2 linked regions of the Stegostoma tigrinum genome follow. The protein of the gene in region 1 binds, or shares a complex with, the protein of each later gene. Links are inferred from orthologs where the notes say so. Each region holds a gene or a part of one and is shown on either strand. Other genes may lie near its edges.

Region 1 (10,115 bases):
GATGGACATGTCGTCTGAGGAATGGGAGGGGAAGTTGAAATAGTTCGTGACTGGGAGGTGCAGTTGTTTAGTGTGAACCGAGCGTAGGTGTTCTGCAAAGTGGTCGCCAAGCCACCGCTTGGTTTCCCCGATGTACAGGAGGCCACAATGGGTACAGCGGATGCAGTATACCACATTAGCAGATGTGCAGGTGAACATCTGCTTGATGTGGAAAGTCTTCTTAGGGCCTGGGATGGGGGTGAGGGAGGAGGTGTGGGCGCAGGTGTCGCACTTGCTCCGGTTACAGGGAAAAGTGCCGGGGGTGGTGGGGCTGGAGGGGAGTGTCGAGCTGACAAGGGAGTCATGGAGAGAGTGGTCCCTCCAGAAAGCAGATAAGGGTGGGGAGGGAAAAATGTCTTTAGTGGTGGGGTCAGATTGCAGGTGGCGGAAGTCTCGGAGGATGATGTGTTGCATCTGGAGGTTGATGAGGTGTTACATGAGGACGAGGGGGGTTCTGTTTTGGTTGTTATTTTGGGGAGTGTGTGTTAGGGATGAGTTGCGGGAAATGCAGGAGACACAGTCGAGCGCGTTCTCGACCACTGAGTGGGGGTAAGTTGCGGTACTTGAAAAAGGAGGACATCTGAGATGTACAGGAGTGGAATGTCTCATCTTGGGAGCAGGTGCGGCAGAGGCAAAGGAATTGGGAATAGGGGATGGCCTTTTTGCAGGAAGGTGGATAAGAGGAAGTGAATTCTAGGTAGCTGTGGGAGTTGCTGGGTTTGAAATGGATATCGGTTTCCAGGTGGTTGTCAGAGATGGAAACAGAGAGGTCCAGGAAGGACAGAGAGGCATCAGAGATGGTCCAGGTGAACTTAAGGTTGTGGTGGAAGGTTTTGGTGAAGTAGATGAACTGTTTGAATTCCTCATGGGAGCACAAGGCGGCGCTGATACAGTCATCAATGTAGCGGAGGAAGAATTGGGGTTTAGGGCCAGTGTAGCTACAGAAGAGGGACTATTCTACGTAACCTACAAAGAGGCAGGCATAGCTTGGGCCCATGCGGGTACCCATGGCCACTCCCTTTGTCTGTAGGATGTGGGAGAAATTGAAAGACTCTTTGTAGGAGCCAAACGTCAGCCTTTCTGCTCCTCTGATGCTGCTTGTATTCATCCAGCGCTACACACCTTGTTATCTCAGATTTTCCAGCATCTGCAGTTCCTACCCTGAAAGCTTTGTTGTCTTGTCCAGTCACTCTCAGGAGATTTCAGAAGTGATACCTTTCTATCTGTCACACTTACAGGTTGAGGACCAAATACACACACTTGCCAATTTGGCGCAAAGAGAAATATTAGACCATCTTTGCATCATGCCTGCCCCACAGATTTCAATAATTGTCCAAATCTGACTGAATATTTCCAGCTTCCTGGCCCTCCATTCAAGCCCTTGCAACCATGTAACATCTTGGGGATAGGTTAGGGGAGAAATTGTGGCTGCCAGTAAAAATCTGTAGATAATTTTCACATATCACAGAACATAAATCTAATGTTGCGTGTAGACAATCCTCACTATCCTTTTTATTTATTTAGGGGAAAGAAAATATTATAGTTTTTATAATAGGCACTTGGACCTCAAAGTCAGTTTTTACCTCAATTCCTTAAATACTGCAGAAGAATATTGTTGTTCATTTTTCTCTGATTCATACTGGCCCCGAGATATACTCATTTGACCAAATATTAATGTTTGTACATTATTCCCCATGCAAAACAGTAGGTGAAGGGCAAAAAATGCTGGCCTAGCCAGCGATTCCAAATGAATAGACGAAAATAAAAGGTGATCTCATTGGAAAATGTAAGATTTTGAGGGGGATCAACAAGGTAAATGTTAAGAAGATATTTTCTGTCATGGAGATATCTCGAATTAGGGGGCATGGTTTAAAAACAATTGCTCTCCTATTTGAGAAAGCAATGAGGCAAAATGGGTTATTGAATGTCTTCAAGGCTGAGCTAGACAAGGAATTTATAAGGAATTTAGTTTACAGGGAAACTATGGTCAATGGGGTACAGACTAGCTTTAGATCAGTCATGATCTTATTAAATGGTACAAAAGACTTGATGGTGGAAATGGCCTATCCCTCTCCCCATTTCTTACAATTTTACATTTAAATTGTAGCCACTATTGGCGATGTTGGAAACAAGGCAGCTAGATAATACCATACACAAGATAGAATCTTCAAACAACAAAGCAATGATGAGCAGATAACTTGTTTTAGAGATGTTAATTGATCAATAAATATTGGTCAGGAGACTAAAGAGAATTCCCCTGGTTTTGTGTATTGCTGAAAACAAATCCTGGATGCACTGACAATCAATTTAGGATTGTTGGTCAGGTTCACAATGCGGTGCATTTGTGTGTACTGAAAATCATATATGTTAATGCAAAGACCCTGTTCTTTGGAGACAGAAATAACATACACGCACTGCATCGGTTTCAAATCAATGCACGTGTGACAGCCAATGTTTGGATCAGTTCTCAGAGCACTGTTTTGAATAATTAGAGTCAACCAGCCTGGCATCTGGCAGTTAACTGTCGGTCATCATCTAATGGGTGCATTCTTCATAGCCTCTACAAATCACAATCCCTGGCACACTAAACGGGTCTTTAACTTTACATCTTGCAAATTGTCCTGATGAGTTCAAGAGAACAAGCTTCAACAAAATATTTTTGTGAAGCAATTTTGAAGTTCTGTATTTCTAAATGACTATCTCCTAACCTTTTTCAAAATAGTCTCATGATCTATTTTACATCTATTCCAGATAACAGATTAGATTTATTGTCTCACCCAAAAGACAAAATTCCGTACATTCTTTCAGGATTACACCAGAGTACACCCACTTTTACCAGTCAGCTACTGTACTTTACTGAACTTTGTAACTAGTCCTTTCAGGTCCTCTGCATTCTGTTTTCTAACCCATTGTCAATCTCTTTCTACTGTGCACCTGAGTGCAGTTAGAACCTGAGTTCATACCAGATGCTGAAGGACAGAGATTTGTTTTGCCTGATCTCCCCCACCCTTACCTTTCCCCGGAATTCTCTGGATTTCAGAAGGTCGTGGGTAGAGTAGGGGTGGGAGAAGATGGCTCAGTGTAAACATGAGTACATATTCCAAGCTGCTGTTCTGGCGTTACAAGAGTTCTCCTCCTCCAACTGGGAAAATCTGGATTCAGAGATGACAAGATGTTGAGCTAGATGAACACAGTAGGCCAAGCAGCATCAGAGGAGCAGACATTTCAGGTCTAGATCCTTCTTCAGAAATGGGAGAGGGGAAAGGGGTGCTGAAATAAATAGGGGGAGAAGGGGAGGCGGATAGAAGACGGATAGAGGAGAAGATAGGAGGAGAGGAGACAGACAGACAGGTCAAAGAGGTGGGGATGGAGCCAGTAAAGGTGAGTGTAGGTAGGGACATAGGAAGGAGATAGGTCAGTCCAGGGAGGACGGACAGGTCAAGGCGGCAGGATGTGGTTAGTAGGTAGGAGATGGGGGTGGAGCTTGAGGTGGGAGGAGGGGGGAGGTGGGAGGAAGGACAGGTTAGGGAGGTGAGGACGATCTGGGCTGGTTTTGGGATACGGTAGGGGGAGGGGAGATTTTGAAGCTTGTGAACTCCCCATTGATACCATTGGGCTGCAGGGTTCCAAAGCGGATTATGAGTTGCTGTTCCTGCAACCTTCAGGTAGCATCATCTGTGGAAGGGAAGGGGGAGTTGAAATGGTGCACGACTGGGAGGTGCAGTTGTTTAGTATGAACCAAGCGTAGATGTTCTGCGAAGCTATCCCCAAGCCTCTGCTTGGTTTCCCCGATGTAGAGGAAGCCACAACGGGAACAGTAGATGCAGTATACCACATTAGCAGGTGTGTAGGTGAACCTCTGCTTGATGTGGGAAGTCTTCTTAGGGCCTGGGATAGTGGTGAGGGGGCATGGGTAGCACTTCCTGCGGTTGCAGGGAAAAGTGTCGGGTGAGGTGGGGCTGGAGGGGAGGGGAGTGTGGAGCGGACAAGGGAGTCACAGAGAAAGTGGTCCCTCTGGAAAGCAGATAAGGGTTGGGGGTCAGAAATGTCTTTGGTGGTGGGTTTGGATTGCAGACGGCAGAAGTGTTGGAGGATGATTCGTTGGATCCGGAGGTTGGTGAGGTGGTATATGAAGATGAGGGGGATTCTGTTTTGGTTTTTATTGCGGGGAAGGGGTATGAGGGATGAATTGCAGGCAATGCGGGAGACATGGTCGAGGGCGTTCTCGACCACTGAGGAGGGGAAGTTGCGGTCCTTGAGAAACGAGGACATCTGAGATGTATGGGAGTGGAATGCTTAATCCTCGGAGCAGATGCGGCTGAGGCAAAGATATTGGGAATAAGGGATAACTTTTTTGCAGGAAAGTAGGTGGGAGGAGGTGTATTCTGGGTAGCTGTAGGAGTCAGTGGGCTTGAAACAGATATCGGTTTCTAGGTGGTTGCCAGAGATGGAGAGAGGTGTCTAGGAAGGAGAGAAAGTTATTAGACATGGTCCAGGTGAATTTAAGGTTGGGGTGGAAGGTATTGGTGAAGTGAATGAACTGTTCGAACTCCACGTGGGAGCACGAGGTGGCGACTATACAGTCATGGATGTAATGGAGGAAGAGGTGAGGTTTAGGGCCAGTGTAGGTACGGAAGAGGGATTGTTCCACGTAACCTACAAAGAGGCAGGCATAGCTTGGGCCCATGCAGGAACCCCCTTTGTCTGTAGGAAGTGGGTGGAATTAAAAGAGAAGTTGTTGAGAGTTCGGCTAAGCAGATGAGGGTGTCAGTGGAGGTGGACTGGTCAGACCTGTGGGACAGGAAGAAGCAGAGAGCCAACGGGGAGAAAATGGAGTCCAGGTAAGTGGAGGTAAGTTCGGTGGGGCAGGATCAGGCAGAGACAATGGGTCAACCAGGGCAGTTAGGTTTGTGGATTTTGGGACGGAGATGGAAGCTGGTCGTGTGTGGTTGGGGAACGATGGGTTTGGAGGCTGTGGGGGTGTGAGGTCACCTGAAGTGATGAGGTTGTGGATGGTTTGGGAGATGATAGTTTAGGGCCCAGGGGTGGGGTCATGATCAAGGGGGCTGGATACAAGTCCCACCGGCCCGAGATGTGTCATAACATAATCTCAACAGGTTAAACAACTACGTTTGAAATGAGTGGTCGCGGCCAAAGCTTTTACTTTGTTTTCCCCTCTTTAAAATCTTGTGGACGTTCACATCCAATGTCCGTTCCTGTGTCCATTGAAAACCTGTATCAAGTCATTTCTATTACCTCTCCTCATTCTGCCGGCCATTTCAATCACATCACATTTGTCTGCGCGTCTATTCAGTCGGCTTTGTATGGCCTCCTCAGCTTTAGTTCTCATTAACGCTACGGAAATAGACAGGAGAAACTTCTAGGTCGCAGTTCTCAGCTGCAAGGTGACACGCCCCAGCACTTTCTGCTCAGTGTGTTGCACAATTACAAAGTTAGAAGTCTGGCATCATTGCTGAAAGGAATTATCTCTACATATGGTGCCGGGATACTGCTGACCACTTAACATAATTGACATTCGGTTAAGCTTGTAAAAATCGCGAGGAGCAGATGCGAGTGGAGAGTGAACTGTTGCAGAGAGCTTGGCATGATCTGTACTTCACTCATCTGAATCTCTTCGAGGCTCGGCTGGGCTGAGAACACTGAAAACACAACCTCATCACCTCGTTTCCCGCAGACAGGTCTTACTCAAACCCAGCGGCCTGTCACTTCCCCGGCACTCTCGCTGACCTCTGAAAGGAGGCGTGTCAGCTTGCTGTTAGAGACACATTCCCTTACATGTTGCACACAGCAACCCGTCAACAAGGTTATAGAAGGAAGACTTGTAGCTGAGAATTATTATCAAACATCTCCGCCGACACCAAAAGCAGGTAAGGGTCGAATTAAGTCAATAAACTGAACAAGTATAAGAAAGGGCATTTTATATAGTGTCAATACAGAATATCAGAAATGTTATCATTACCTATGTTATAACCAAACGTGTGTATCTATTTGCTTCACCGATTATTTTATTTGAACGATTACTTTATTTCACTGTTGGGAGACATCTGCTACATTAAATAATTGTAAATCTTTCAAGTCCAGTTATGGTTGGAGTAACGGTCCGGTCATACAGGTAAAGCTAGCACTTGTTGGCTGGTGGCTCATGATCTAATTCTTCAATCACTCCTGCCCGCTACCCTGTTCGCCAAAGATAAACCTGAACTTTCTATAGCTCTCACTGACCAGCCGATTGTACAAATGAAACGGGGAGAGATTTCTGCAGTTGGCGATTTCCTAGGTCGTCTGTCGAATGCTCAAAAACAAAACCAGCGTCACAGTCCATCGGCAGCCAGCAAAATTAATGTTTTTGCGTGCATTGAAGAAAAGAATGGCGGCCTCTTTGCACCAGATTTGCGCCACGATTGAAGCAGCATTTGGGAAAGCAAAAGAATATGAAGAACTTGGTATTGTACCAGAGCTAATCTGGCAGAAAAGGTAAGTTTGTTAGCTTCCTGCAGGTAGTTGACAGCAGTTTCCCATCAGAATTACTCGGAGCGAAAAGGTAGCAAAAGACATCAGGGAAGTAACTGACGGTCTATGAGATCAAGAAACAGCTCCACCTGAACAAAATATTCTCTAAAAGATATTTACATTTTATAGAGGGTCGCTTTAACGGTTGCAATTTTGCCGACCTGCAGAGTATCACTCAAAAGACGTGTCAGGGTAATTGTGTTTAAATGAAGGAATACCCTGATTTCTCCTCACCCATGCTTCTTGTTTGTGGGCTATGTTTGAATGGGCATGATCAGCCTCATTAGGTCAGTGAGCTGACCCTCCGGGATAGTCAATATCCAGCGGATATTCAACCCGGGAGAACCCTCAGATGAAACCCAATGCTGGAAAGCAGGTTAAACTACTTCATAGCGAGCGCAGTATTAATCAAATATGTATTGTTTATTGGTGTTCAATGTATTGTCGGCTTTGTTTTATATCAATGAAGTATAGCTGTGAACCATTTAAATTTGAGCACAACCGATAATTATTTTTTGATTGATTATGTAAAACTGCTAGTTACATCAATCTTGTCAGCAATGGAACACCGCAATCGGCCTGAGGGTCTAATGGACAGTAATAAAGTTTGATCAGCAGATTCACCATCGCTTCTAATTTCTGGTGGGCAACGGTTCAATTGAAACGGTGGAACAGCGGGAAAGGTTGCGGAAGTTGCAGTGTAACAGTTGCCCTCTGTAAAGGAAGACAAAATTCGGAAATGTAAACAAAAACCCCAGAGAGTTCTGAAAATTTGTTTTTTTAAAAAAACTCCGCAGATCTGGCCGTAGTTGTGGAGAGGGACGTTCTGGCTCCTCTTCAATCAAGAGCTTCAGGTCTGCAGGAGGAGCTGTTTTAATGAGAGTCTCTGATGACGTTCTCTGTATTTACTGGATTTGGAAAGGGTTCCTGTTTCTCCTTTGGTGGGAGAAACCGATTTTTAATCAGTGAAGGAATTAAGAATTATGTAGAGAAAACGGAAAAGTAAGGTTGAAGATTATCAGATGATCACGTGAGCTCATGAAATGGCGGTGCGGATTCGATGGGCTGAATGGGCTAGTTCTGCTCCTATGTCGAAAGCAGTTATTCATTTCACCTTGTTAAAAACAACTCTTGTAGCACTGCGATGGTGTCCCTTTCTTTGAGCCGGGAGAACAGGGTCCAATCCTACATATGTAGTAAGTGTGTAATAATATCTCTGAACAGGTTGATTTATAAAATATTTACCCTGGTTAAAGATTTGAAAACAAAACCACTTTCTAAAACCTAAATTGGTTTTAATGCTATTAAAACCAATCATTGTATTCCAGTTCCAACCTCCACAACGGAAGGTAAACAGAAATATTGTTTTAAATGAAAAACAAAAGAACTGCAGATGCTATAAATCAGAAACAAAAACAGAAATTGCTGTACCTGAAATGTTAACCCTGATTTCTCTCTATGGATGCTGCCAGGCCTGTTGAGCTTTGCCAGAAACATTGTTTTGTGTGTTTGTCTGTAATAACTAATGGATTGATTTCAGTAAAACTTGGTGCACAGAAAGGTTATGGCACAAGGAATAACCGATTGCAGCAAAAATGAAAGTGCTGGAGTAACTCAGCAGGTCTGGTAGCATCTGTGGGGAGAAAACAGGGCTAATGTTTCGGGTCCAGTGACTCTTCATCAGAACTGATTAGTTTTTCATGAAGATATAGATCCCAATTTGGATCCTTATCCTGGAATTTTGCAAAGAATCCCATAACACATGGAGATGGGGTAAACTGACTTTTTTATAGTGTTGTGGTTTGTGTTATTTAGAATGTTGTGGATTGTTTTGGAATAATGTGTCTTACCTATTGTGACAGTATTAGTTTTCAAATAATAGAATTGCTACAGTGTGGAAGCAGGCTGTTCGGCCCATGAAATCCACACCGACCCTCCAAGGAGCAACCCGTTCATGCCAACCAGCGCCCCCCCCAACCTCTTCCTATCCCTGCAATTCCCCTTGGCTAATCCACCTAGCTTGCATACCCCAGGATACTATGGACAATTTAGCATTGCCAATCCACCTAATCTGCACATCTTTGGACTGTGGGAGGAAACTGGAGCATCTGGAGGAAACCCACTGTGAGCAGAGTTTCAAGCAAGTAGTGAAAACCTTAGGGAGGAACTGTGTAATTACAATTGCCTGGCACTAAAACAGCATGTTAGAAGCATGTAATCTGCAGAGTGTTATCTTCACTTATTTTTTCACAATGAATGATGACTTGATGGTTTTATTATTAAATGACATGTTTCCAATATGTGTAAGTGATCTTCCATACAACACCTACAGAATTTCCCAGATATACAGTGGCCAATGATACTAACTGAATTGGGGGGAAAAAAGTCATTTAAAATAAAAAGATAAATGGAGAACCTGCATTTTTAAATTGCTGACATTACAGAAGATTAGCAGATAAGTGACACCCCAAGGGACCCAAGGAAATTTATTAATTTGGATCCTGGTTGCATGGTAAGAAGTAAAGGTTATTGATTGAGGAGTGCTTTTGTGACTGGAAGTCTATGTCTAGTGGGTTTCCTCAGGGATCATTATTGGGGTTTTTGCTGTTTCTGATGTATGTAAATGATTTAGACTTGAATGTATATGGGCTGACCAGTAAGTTCACAAATGATGTGAAAATGGATGGGTGGTAAACAGTGAAGAAAGTAGTATTCATAGTCCCTACAGTAGTGGGACTGGTAGATAAAGTGGTTGAGAAGCAATATGGGATGTTTGCCTTTATTAGCTGAGACATTGAGTTTAAAAGCAGGGAGGCGAAGTAGAAATTGTATGTAATATTGGCTACAGCTAGAGTATTATATGCAGTTATGAAGTCCACATTATAGGAGGGATGTGATTTCACTGGACAGGGCGTAGAGGAAATTTACCAGAATGTTGCCTGGGTTGGAGAGTTTCAGTTGTGAAGACAGATTGGAAAGGCTGGGGTTCTTTTCCTTGGTGCAGAGGAAACCAATACTTAAAATGAACAATTGATCCAACATCAACTGTCATTTGTGGAAGAGATTTCAAACCTTTGCCATCTTTTGTGTGTAGAAGTCTTTCCCAACATCTGTCCTGCTTGGTTTGGTCCTTATTCTCAGACCATGGCCCTTAGTTCTAGAATCTCCAACCAGGGGATATAGTTTATCTTTATCTACTGTCTTTTCCTGTTGATATCTTGCAAATTTTGATCGAATCACCCCGTGACCTTTCAAATTCTAGTGAAAACAGACCTAATTTGTAAAATCCCTTCATAACTTAATCCCCAAAGACCAACCACCATTCTTGTAAGGCCATATCGTAATTTCTCCAAGGTAAATATTTCATGTGGTGCACAGATCTCCTCCAAGTGGGGCTTAGCCAGGGCTTTGTATAGGTCCAGCATAACTTCCACGCCTTTATAATGCAGCCCTCTAGATATAAAAGTCAGCATTCCATGAATCTTCTTAAAGGTGAAACTGTTGGCCATTTAAGTTCTTCGTCTCACCTCCATCACTATTTCACC
Region 2 (10,796 bases), on another chromosome or scaffold:
CTGATAGAGATAATGGCTGATAAAGACCTGAAGGATTGTATCCCTAAGATTTTAAAGGATATAGCAACAGGATAGTGACTGCACTAATAGTAATCTTCCAAGACTCCTTAGTGTCTGGAAAAGTTCCAGAAGATTGAAAAACTGCCAATGTAACATATGAACATAAGGAATAGGATCTGGCCATCTGGCCTTTTCAGCCCATCCCCCCATTCAAAAAGATCATGGATGATCTTTTCATGGACTCAGCTAAGTACTAACCCGCTCACTATATACCTTACTTGCTTTGCTGTTCAAAAACTGATCTATCTTTGCCTTAAAAACATTCAACAAGGTAGCCTCAAATATTTCACCTGGCAGGGAATTCCTCAGATTCACAAAATTTTGGTTGAAGAAGTTTTACGTCAGCTCAGTCATAAATCTGCTCCCCATTATTTTGAGGCCCTTGAGTTCTGACAGCTTCATTTAAAATGTAAGGGAGCCATAAACAAATACCTATTGGCCAGTCTTCTTAACATCTATAATTAGAAAGCTGTTAAAGTCAAATATAAGAAAACAAGGTGTAGAACTGGATGAACACAGCAGGCCAGGCAGCATCGGAGAAGTAGGAAAGCTGACACTTTGGGTGGGTCCAGAACTAAAACGTCAGCTTTCCTGCTCCTCTGATGCTGCTTGGCCTGCTGTGTTCATCTAGCTCTACACCTTGTTATCTCAGATTCTCCAGCATCTGCAGTTCCTACTATCTCAAAGTCACATATAAGTGAAGTAATAGTGGAACAGGTCAGCACGGCGGCTCAGTGGTTAGCACTGATGCCTCACAGCAGCAGGGACTTGGGTTCAATTCCACCCTCAGGTGTCTGTTTGTGTTGAGTTTGCACACTCTCCCCCTGTCTGCGTGGGTTTATTCCCGGTGCTCTGCTTTCCTCCCACAGTCCAAAGATGTGCAGGGTAGATGGATTGGCCATGCTAAATTGCCCATTGTGCCCAGGGTTGCTTAGGTTGGGTGGATTAGACATGGAAAATTCTAGGGTAGGGGAATGGGTCTGGGTGGGATGCCCTTCGGAGGGGCCATGTGCACTTGTTGGGCCGAATGGCCTGTTTCCACACTGTAGGGGTTTGATGATAATTCAGAAGAATTACATAATATGCTCAAGCAGATTCAAAATGGCTATATGAAGAGAAAATCATGCCTGACAAATTTATTTCATTCCTTTGAGGAGCTAACAAGCAAGATAGATAAAAGGGGAAGCTGTAGATGTACAGGGGTTTCTGCTATAATGCGATAGATGCAGTCCTGTGAAATAACACATTATGGAAAATTGCCCTAAAGAAATAACTGAGCCAATGGGAAAAGGAAGGTTAGAGGCAGACCAACAAAAAAATTACTCAAAAACCACCCAAAAGCATAACACAAAGGATAGCGTACAAGTAGTCCTGTTTGGTGGCTTCACCAGGTTGATACCTCATCTTCAGGCATGCCTGGTGCTGCTCCTGGCATGCTCTCCTGCATTCTCCAATAAACCCCTGACTTGATGGTAAGGGTTGAGTGGGGGATATGCTGGCCATGAGGTTACAGATTGTGTCGGAGTACAATTCTGCTGATGTTGATGGCCCACAGCACCTCACGATGGCCAGCTGAGTTGCTAGAAAGGTTCAAAGTCTGTCTCATGTTGCACTGTGATAATGCCACACAACATGATGGAGGGTATTTTCAAAGTGAAGGCAGGACTTTATCTCCGCAAGGACTATGCGGTGGTCGCTCTTACCAATACTCTCACGGACAGATGCATCTGCAGCTGGCAGATTGGTAAGAATGAGATCAGGTATATTTTTCCCTCTTGTTGGTTCCCTCTTCACCTGCCGCAGACCCAGTCTCGCAGCTATGTCCTTCAGGACCTGACCAGCTCGATCAGTAAGGCTGCTGCTGAGCCTCTTTTAGTAGTGGACGGTGAAATCCCCACCCAGATTACATTTAGCAATTTTTAATCCTTAGTACTTGCTCCAAGTGTTGTTCAACATGGAGGAGTACTGATTGATCAGCCAAGGGAGGATGGTACATGGTAATCAGAAGGAAGTTTCCTTGCCCATGTATAATCTAAAGCCATGAGGCTTGCTCGAGGTCAGAGTCAGAGTCAATGTTGAGGACTCCAGGGATCGGTTAAAGTGTGTTTGCTTTAATGCAAGGAGTATCAGGAATAAAAGTGATGAACTTAGAGCATGGATCAGTACCTGGTGCTATGATGTTGTGGCCATAACAGAGACATGGGTTTCTCATGGGCAGGAATGGTTGCTGGATGTTCCCGGGTTTAGAACATTTAAAAAGAATAGGGAGGGGGGAGAAAGAGGAGGGGGTGTAGCACTACTAATCAGAGAGGGTATCACAGCTACAGAAGCTTCCATTGTCGAGGAAGATCTGCCTACCGAGTCAGTATGGGTGGAAATTAGGAACAGCAAGGGAGTAGTCACCTCGTTAGGGGTTTACTACAGGCCCCCCAATAGCAGCAGGGAGATTGAAGAAAGCATAGGTCGACAGATTTTGGAAAAGTGTGGACGCAGTAGGGTTGTTGTAAATGGGTGACTTTAACTTTCCTAATATTGATTGGAACCTCCTTCGAGCAGAAGATTTGAATGGAGCTGTTTTTGTAAGGTGTGTTCAGGAGGGTTTCCTAACGCAGTACGTTGACAGGCCGACGAGGGGAGAGGCCATTCTAGACTTGGTGCTCGGAAACGAGCCGGGGCAGGTATCAGATCTTGTGGTGGGAGAGCATTTTGGTGATAGTGACCATAACTGCCTCACATTCTACATAGCTATGGAGAAGGAGAGGATTAGGCAGAATGGGAGGATATTTAATTGGGGAAGAGGAAACTATGATGCGATTAGACATGAGTTAGGAAGCATAGACTGGGAGCAGTTGTTCCATGGTAAGGGAACTATCGACATGTGGAGACGGTTTAAGGAACAGTTGTTGGGAGTGATGAGTAAATATGTCCCTCTGAGACAGGCAAGAAGGGGTAAGATTAGGGAACCTTGGATGACGAGAGCGGTGGAGCTTCTAGTGAAAAGGAAGAAGGTAGCTTACATAAGGTGGAGGAAGCTAGGGTCAAGTTCAGCTAGAGAGGATTACATGCAGGCAAGGAAGGAGCTCAAAAATGGTCTGAGGAGAGCCAGGAGGGGGCACGAGAAAGGCTTGGCAGAAGGAATCCGGGAAAACACAAAGGCATTTTACACTTACGTGAGGAATAAGAGAATGGTCAAAGAAAGAGTAGGGCCGATCAGGGATAGCATAGGGAACTTGTGTGTGGAGCCTGAGGAGGTAGGGGAAGCCCTAAATGAGTTTTTTGCTTCTGTCTTTACGAAAGAAACAAACTTTGTAGTGAATGAAACCTTTGAAGAGCAGGTGTGCATGCTGGAATGGATAGAGATAGACGAAGCTGATGTGCTGAAAATTTTGTCAAACATTAAGATTGACAAGTCGCCAGGCCCGGATCAGATTTGTCCTCGGCTGCTTTGGGAAGCGAGAAATGCAATTGCTTCGCCACTTGCGAAGATCTTTGCATCCTCGCTCTCCACTGGAGTCGTACCTGAGGACTGGAGAGAGGCAAATGTAATTCCTCTCTTCAAGAAAGGAAATAGGGAAATCCCCGGCAATTATAGACCGGTAAGTCTCACGTTTGTCGTCTGCAAGGTGTTAGAAAGGATTCTGAGGGATAAGATTTATGACCATCTGGAAGAGCATGGCTTGATCAAATACAGTCAACACGGCTTTGTGAGGGGTAGGTCATGCCTTACAAACCTTATTGAGTTTTTGGAGGATGTGACTAGAAAAGTTGATGAGGGTCGAGCTGTGGATGTGGTGTATATGGCCTTCAGTAAGGCATTTGATAAGGTTCCCCATGGTAGGCTCATTCAGAAGGTCAGGAGGAATGGGATACAGGGGAACTTAGCTGCTTGGATACAGAATTGGCTGGCCAACAGAAGACAGCGAGTGGTAGTAGAAGGAAAATATTCTGCCTGGAAGTCAGTGGTGAGTGGAGTTCCACAGGGCTCTGTCCTTGGGCCTCTACTGTTTGTAATTTTTATTAATGACTTGGACGAGGGGATTGAAGGATGGGTCAGCAAGTTTGCAGACGACACAAAGGTCGGAGGTGTCGTTGACAGTGTAGAGGGCTGTTGTAGGCTGCAGCGGGACATTGACAGGATGCAGAGATGGGCTGAGAGGTGGCAGATGGAGTTCAACCTGGATAAATGCGAGGTGATGCATTTTGGAAGGTCGAATTTGAAAGCTGAGTACAGGATTAAGGATAGGATTCTTGGCAGTGTGGAGGAACAGAGGGATCTTGGTGTGCAGATACATAGATCCCTTAAAATGGCCACCCAAGTGGACAGGGTTGTTAAGAAAGCATATGGTGTTTTGGCTTTCATTAACAGGGGGATTGAGTTTAAGAGTCGTGAGATCTTGTTGCAGCTCTATAAAACTTTGGTTAGACCGCACTTGGAATACTGCGTCCAGTTCTGGGCGCCCTATTATAGGAAAGATGTGGATGCTTTGGAGAGGGTTCAGAGGAGGTTTACCAGGATGCTGCCTGGACTGGAGGGCTTATCTTATGAAGAGAGGTTGACTGAGCTTGGTCTCTTTTCATTGGAGAAAAGGAGGAGGAGAGGGGACCTAATTGAGGTATACAAGATAATGAGAGGCATAGATAGAGTTGATAGCCAGAGACTATTTCCCAGGGCAGAAATGGCTAGCACGAGGGGTCATAGTTTTAAGCTGTTTGGAGGAAAGTATAGAGGGGATGTCAGAGGCAGGTTCTTTACGCAGAGAGTTGTGGGAGCATGGAATGCGTTGCCAGCAGCAGTTGTGGAAGCAAGGTCATTGGGGTCATTTAAGAGACTGCTGGACATGTATATGGTCACAGAAATTTGAGGGTGCATACATGAGGATCAATGGTCGGCACAACATTGTGGGCTGAAGGGCCTGTTCTGTGCTGTACTGTTCTATGTTCTATGTTCTATGTTCTAATTCCACCTCAACTGTATGCCATTTTGCTGCACCTCCATTGGTTCTGTACTGCTGGCGTCCTACCTCTGTTACTACCTGTCTGGTTTGCATTCAAGGATCTGTAGACGTACATAATACAGTTCTTATCATTTGTACATCCTAGGATGCTATCATTCATACGTACTGGTTTTCCTTGTCAGTCCTCCCATCACCTCACACAACTGTCTTATAAAATGGTCCATTACAAAAGTTATTGCTCTGGCCTGAAATAAGAGATTCAGATTCAGATTCAGGTTCCTTTATATATAGAAACTATACAAATAAATAAATCTGAAATTAATTGCCGCGTCTAAATAACCATCTTGTAAAGACAAAATAGTCATGACACAAGCCAGTTTCTAATCTAAAAACCAAAAGAACTGTGGATGCTGTAAATCAGGAACAAAAAACAGAAGTTTCTGGAAAAGCTCAGCAGGTCTGGCAGCATCTGTGAAGGAGAAAACAGAGCTAACGTTTTGGGTCCAGTGTCTGATGCTGAGGGAAAGTCACTGGATCTGAAACGTTAGCTCAGTTTTCTCTTTCACAGATGCTGCCAGACCTGATGAGCTTTTCCAGCAACTTCTGTTTTTGTTCCAGTTCCTAATCTGAATTGTTACAGTAAAGGAACTGATTACCAATGTTCAGTGTTTGAGGTTATTACCAATATTGGACCAGAGCAGAACTTAGATGATTGATTTTTTAAACCAGTTTTTGAAATTTTATTAACTTCTTTATTCTTACCTTTAGAAGTTTTATAGATTAAAAAGTACTTCTCCAAAACACTCAAAAACAAATCTTCCAGGATTAGCAAGATTTCATTATGAAACTCACCTTCTTTGTCCAATTCATAACATCTGTGATATTCACTTCTCATTCATGATAAAAGAGAACAGAACGTATTTTCTTCAAGGATCTTTTAAAGCTGGTATTGTAAATTAGATATGCTAATGTGTCATTCTTTAGACAAAAGCATAACCTTCCTTTTTGGCCTTACAGATCCCAATCTTTTCATGAAGCGAATAAATCATTTAGACTGCCGCTGATTTAGATAACAGATGTCTGTAATTGAAACAAACTCATTAGGGATTTAGATTGAAGAAAATGATCAGTTCACCTCTTGTGGTGATGAATCAGCTTCCATACTTCTAGATGTAACACATCTGATCCGCTAGATGGGTTTCTGCAGGAGGTCTATTAATGATGGTAAAAGGATAAAAAGGGAGATTGGGCTTCTCTGAAATGCCTCAGGTTCCATACGCACACTGCCTTTCGCTTGAGGCAGAACCAGTGCAAGAATGAATGCTACCGTTTACATAGCTCTTTTTATTTCTGTGTTGTTTAATGTAGAACCTTCCATTTCATCTGTTGTGGGGCAGTTGGAAGACGACAAGGTGCCACAGAAAGACTTTAACCAAGAAATGTTGGCAAACAATGATCTACTAGAGCAACTGAGGTCTTCACGCCTGATCAAAATCTACCAGCTCCAGCAGCCAGACAAAGTAACCTCAGAGGTATGACTTATCACAGTAAATGCTCGCTTTAAATGTGTAACTTATTCTTTCATTATCAGAAGGAAAATGTATTCAATTAACTCTAAAATGTTTATATGTAAGTTGCTAAAATTTATTTGCTCCATCAGCATTAAGGGCCTTCAAGCAGACACCGAGAAGTTATTTGGAGAATGAGTAGCTCCCTCTCATTCTATAAGAGGGCTTAATGGGTTAGATAAGGGGAAAGGTTTCCACTGCCAGAGGGTTTTTTGATTCATTGTCGTATGTAACCAGTTCTCTTTTGCAAGTTCCTATTCAATCTGTTTCAACTACCCCTACAGGTAAAACATTCCAAGTCACAATTCGAAGCAGAATTTTTTTTCTCAACTCCTGCACTATACCTAATGGCAATTACCCTAAATCTGTGAACCCCTGGTTACGGATCTCCTGGAAACAATTTCTTATTATATATTGTATTAGCATCACAGTCCATTCGTTCACTAGCATAATTACTACTTCTTTCACTTTCTCTATTGCAAGGAAAAAAATCCCAGATTCTGCAGACTTGCCACATCCCTGAAATGCCTGCTATCTGCCTTTATAGTCCAGCCTCTAATAGTTTTCCCTTTGGTTTCAAATAGTCTTAAAAGTCAATGTCATTGATCGCGTAACTGTTCACTCAGTGTAATCTTCCGCTCGATGTTAAATTTTTGCCCTTATTATGATTCTTCGAAACAACCATGGGATGTTCTTAAAAACATCACTCTCGCCTTCTGTTTAGGACTTTGGTTTTAGGATGGACCCCAAAATTATTCGACCACCTTTTATGTCTGCTAGCCAGAGGTTATTCAAACGACCTCTCATCTCAAATGAGTCTATGAAAAAGCCACCGTACCACTCAGCTAAGAGGACAGATGCTTCTGAAAGCTCAAATCAACTGGAACAGCTTGAGATGTTAGAGGCACATCGAGCCACTAATGATGGAGAAAATGGGGCTGTGCTTCCTGTGGGCAGAAGAGATTTTGACAGTAAGTTTTTGGCATGCTGAAACAGCTGTTGAGTTGTGATATGTAGTTACTGAGTGGAAAAAAAAAGAGGCAAGTTCAGAGTGCTATTTATCGAGCAATCTGCATTGATTTTTAATTTTGATTCACATCAATTGGCTTCATTTTCTGAAACTTATGCGGTAGCCATCTGTGGCTGGTAGATAGATTATTTCACAGTTTTATCTCCTCTTGTGGTGACTGACTCCAGAATGTCACTTTTCCAGACAGCTCTAATTTGTCCAAAACTGTGAAGGGCCAGAACAGTTTACCCCATAGCAGTGTGTAGAGTAACTTACAAACACAAGCCACATCATTTTTATTATTGCCCTAGCACCCACCCAAGAAGCAGGGGGGAGGTCAAAACCTGGTGTTGAACTTGGGGATAGGAACAGGATTTTATTTGATTTGAATAATTACTGTCACATGTACCGAAGTGCAGTGAAAAGCATTGTCGTACATACTTTATGAGCAGATCGTACCAGACATGCACATCAGAATAACAGAACAGGGTGCAAGATTATAATCCTACAACTGCTGAGTAGGCCATTCAGCCCATCAACCCTGCCTTGTCATTCAACACAATAATGGCCAAACACTTCTTTTACACCCCTTGGGTACAGGACCTCAAACAAACGAGGCAGCAGTACTGAGGGAGTGCTGCACACTTGGAGGTGTCAGTTAGCAGATGAGAGATTAAATTCAAAGTCTGGCTGGTCTAGATATATTAAAGGGGGATTGGGACATGGCCCTTGTGGCTAAAGGTATCAGTATGTATGGACAGAAAACAGGAGTGGGATACTGAGATTACATGATCAGCTGTAAGCATAGTGGGTGGTGGTGCTCAAAGGGGCTGAATGGTCCAGTCTTTCACCTATTTTCTGTGTCTGTCCCAGGTCAAAACGAAACTGAGCGTTTATCTTCCTGGCAATTGTAAAATACAGATGTTGGGCTGGCTCCCACATATATCTGCGGAGCCAAGGGACCAAAATTCAAATTATATCTCCAAAATCAGAGCACACGAACAAGAGACCATTCAGCCCCTCAAGCCTGTCCTGTCATTCAATTTGATTACAAGTTGATCTGTATCTGGATGCCAACTACCCACTAAAATCTAGAAGGTTTTGTTTAGGAAACTTCATTTGATACTCCCAAACTCAACCACCCCTAACTAGGCTCAAGAGCTTTTTTTGGGAGGATTAAACAGAGTATTCCAGATTTCCACAACCCCTTATGGGGAAGGAGTGCTTCCTGACTGCAGCTCTAAATGAGCTGGCTTTCACTTTAGGATTAAGCCACCTTGCTTTGTTCTTTAATGTTTTCCAGGAAGGTGGTAAATTGATTCACCTGCCTACCCATAATCTAAGGTTAATGGGGGAAAAAGGGGTGTTAAGATGGGATTGAGAATCCAATACATGAACAGATCAGCCATGATCTTATTGAAGAGCAGAATGGCCTATTCCTGTTCCCAATTTAGATGTTGTACACTCTCCCAGACACCCCAAACAGAGAAAGAGTTTCTACTTATCAGTTCCTTCATCTTTTTAAAAGTAACCCACCAAATCACCCAAATAATCAACTTAACAGATAACCAGTTAACGAGCACTGTGCCAGGGGAAATGTAATAATAACAGACGTGAAAGGAAAAAAGAGACAGAGGGGATTAAATTAAAATGGTGTTAGAGGGGAACAAAATGCCAAACTCCAAGATGCCCATCACTATCTAATTGCCTCACAGGCACCAGATGCTCCTACCTGTGCCTGGGCACCCAGGCACAAACATATAAACTGAAGAGTCTTCAAATCCCTACAGTGTGGCAACAGGCCTTTTTTTCCCCCCCCTTATTCATTTACGGGATGAGGGCATCACCGACCAGGCAGCATTTATTGCCCATCCCTAGTTGCCCAGAATGCAGTTGAGTCAACCACATTGCTGTGGGTCTGGAGTCACGTGTAGGCTAGACCAGGTAAGGATGGCAGTTGCGTCCCCTAAAGGGCATGAGTGAATCAGATGGGTTTTTCTGACAATCAACATCAGTCATCAATAGATTCTTAATTCCAGATATTTATTGAATTCAAATCCCACCATGTGCCGTGGCAGGATTCAAACCCAGGTCTCCAGAATGTTGTCTAGGTCTCTGGATTAATAATACCACTAGGCCATTGCCTCCCCAACGAGTCCACACCAATCTATCCCTCTACCCTATCCCTGTAACCCTGCATTTTCCCATGGCTAATCCCACCTAGCCTGCACATCCCTGGACACTAGGAACAATTTCAGCATGGCCAATCCACCAAACCTGCACATCTTTGGATTGTGGGAGGAAACCAGTGTCCCTGGTAAAAAATTAATGCAGACATGGGGAGAACATGCAAACTCCACACAGACTATCACCTGAGGGTGGAATTGAACCCGGGTCCATGGCACTATGAGGCAGCAGTGCTAACCACTGAGCCACCGTGCCACACAAGAGGGACAGGCAGTGGGAAATCACTACCCCCTCCACAGCCCAATACCTAAATTTGTTGACCACTTTAACCAGGTCCAGGAGGAAGCTTAAAATCCATTGTCTCAACCACATTAGTTAGTTTATCCCTTCATTTAAATTCAAGGACATACAAATCCATTATTGTGGCGTTGTAACATTTTCCCTATAGACACAGTAATATTCAGAAACGTCTAACTGTATTGATGTTCAAGCCTTGGAGGTTTGCCAAGGTCGTCCCTCAGTGATTGACATCTTATCTGACTCAAATATTATCACACACCTCTGGAGGAGAGGCAACTTGAGCCTCGATCTCTTAGCTCAGCAATAAGGAAATTACCACAAGGGCTCTCTCCGACTCATTTATATTCATGCAGGTTACTTCAGATGATCAACATGCATATAAAATAAAATGAGTTAAAACCTTGCAGTTAGTTAATTTGTAAAAACTAAAAGAAAAAGAGGTAGTCCAAAAAAGGTACACAATAAGCTGCACCAGGGTCTCATTCTATTTTCCTTCCTAAATCTCACAGTTCTCCGCTGCATGCTTGGAAGAGTTTACCGACCCTGCTGGCAAAACTGACCAACTGTGCAAGAGCCTCAAGATCCTTGGTGAAACTTTAACATGTTGTTGTTATCTGACTCTTGTGACCGTGCATTCATAAGTGATTGAAACTGTGTACTTAGTCCTTTGTGTGATTTATTCTCCATGCTTTAGACAGTGAAAGCTTTAAGCTGAAA

What was found.
Region 2: the proteins of mchr2a (region 1) and pmch are in contact, whole or in part, in a cryo-EM structure (PDB 8WST), measured with the Homo sapiens proteins. The link is inferred for Stegostoma tigrinum from reciprocal best matches to the Homo sapiens genes MCHR2 and PMCH. Residues at the interface, in NP_001035269.1 of Homo sapiens: His82, Gln92, Trp93, Gly96, Gly97, Thr110, Asp113, Gln117, Ile175, Phe177, Val181, Ser183, Cys184, Ala185, Phe186, Leu188, Thr189, Ser190, Pro191, Val194, Tyr197, Thr198, Tyr267, Gln271, Asn274, Met277, Glu278, Gln279, Pro280, Phe284; in NP_002665.2 of Homo sapiens: Leu151, Arg152, Cys153, Met154, Leu155, Gly156, Arg157, Val158, Tyr159, Arg160, Pro161, Cys162, Trp163.

The regions. Positions count from the first base shown.
Region 1 is NC_081357.1:48,883,611-48,893,725, reverse strand, and holds the start of mchr2a (melanin-concentrating hormone receptor 2), read left to right. Parts: upstream 1-5,601; 5' UTR 5,602-5,927; intron 5,928-6,431; exon of another isoform or gene 6,432-6,534; intron 6,535-7,259; exon of another isoform or gene 7,260-7,766; intron 7,767-10,115. UniProt on the Homo sapiens protein: Receptor for melanin-concentrating hormone, coupled to G proteins that activate phosphoinositide hydrolysis.
Region 2 is NC_081371.1:60,124,086-60,134,881, reverse strand, and holds the start of pmch (pro-MCH), read left to right. Parts: upstream 1-6,295; 5' UTR 6,296-6,331; coding exon 6,332-6,547; intron 6,548-7,307; coding exon 7,308-7,554; intron 7,555-10,588; coding exon 10,589-10,638; 3' UTR 10,639-10,796. UniProt on the Homo sapiens protein: MCH may act as a neurotransmitter or neuromodulator in a broad array of neuronal functions directed toward the regulation of goal-directed behavior, such as food intake, and general arousal. May also have a role in spermatocyte differentiation.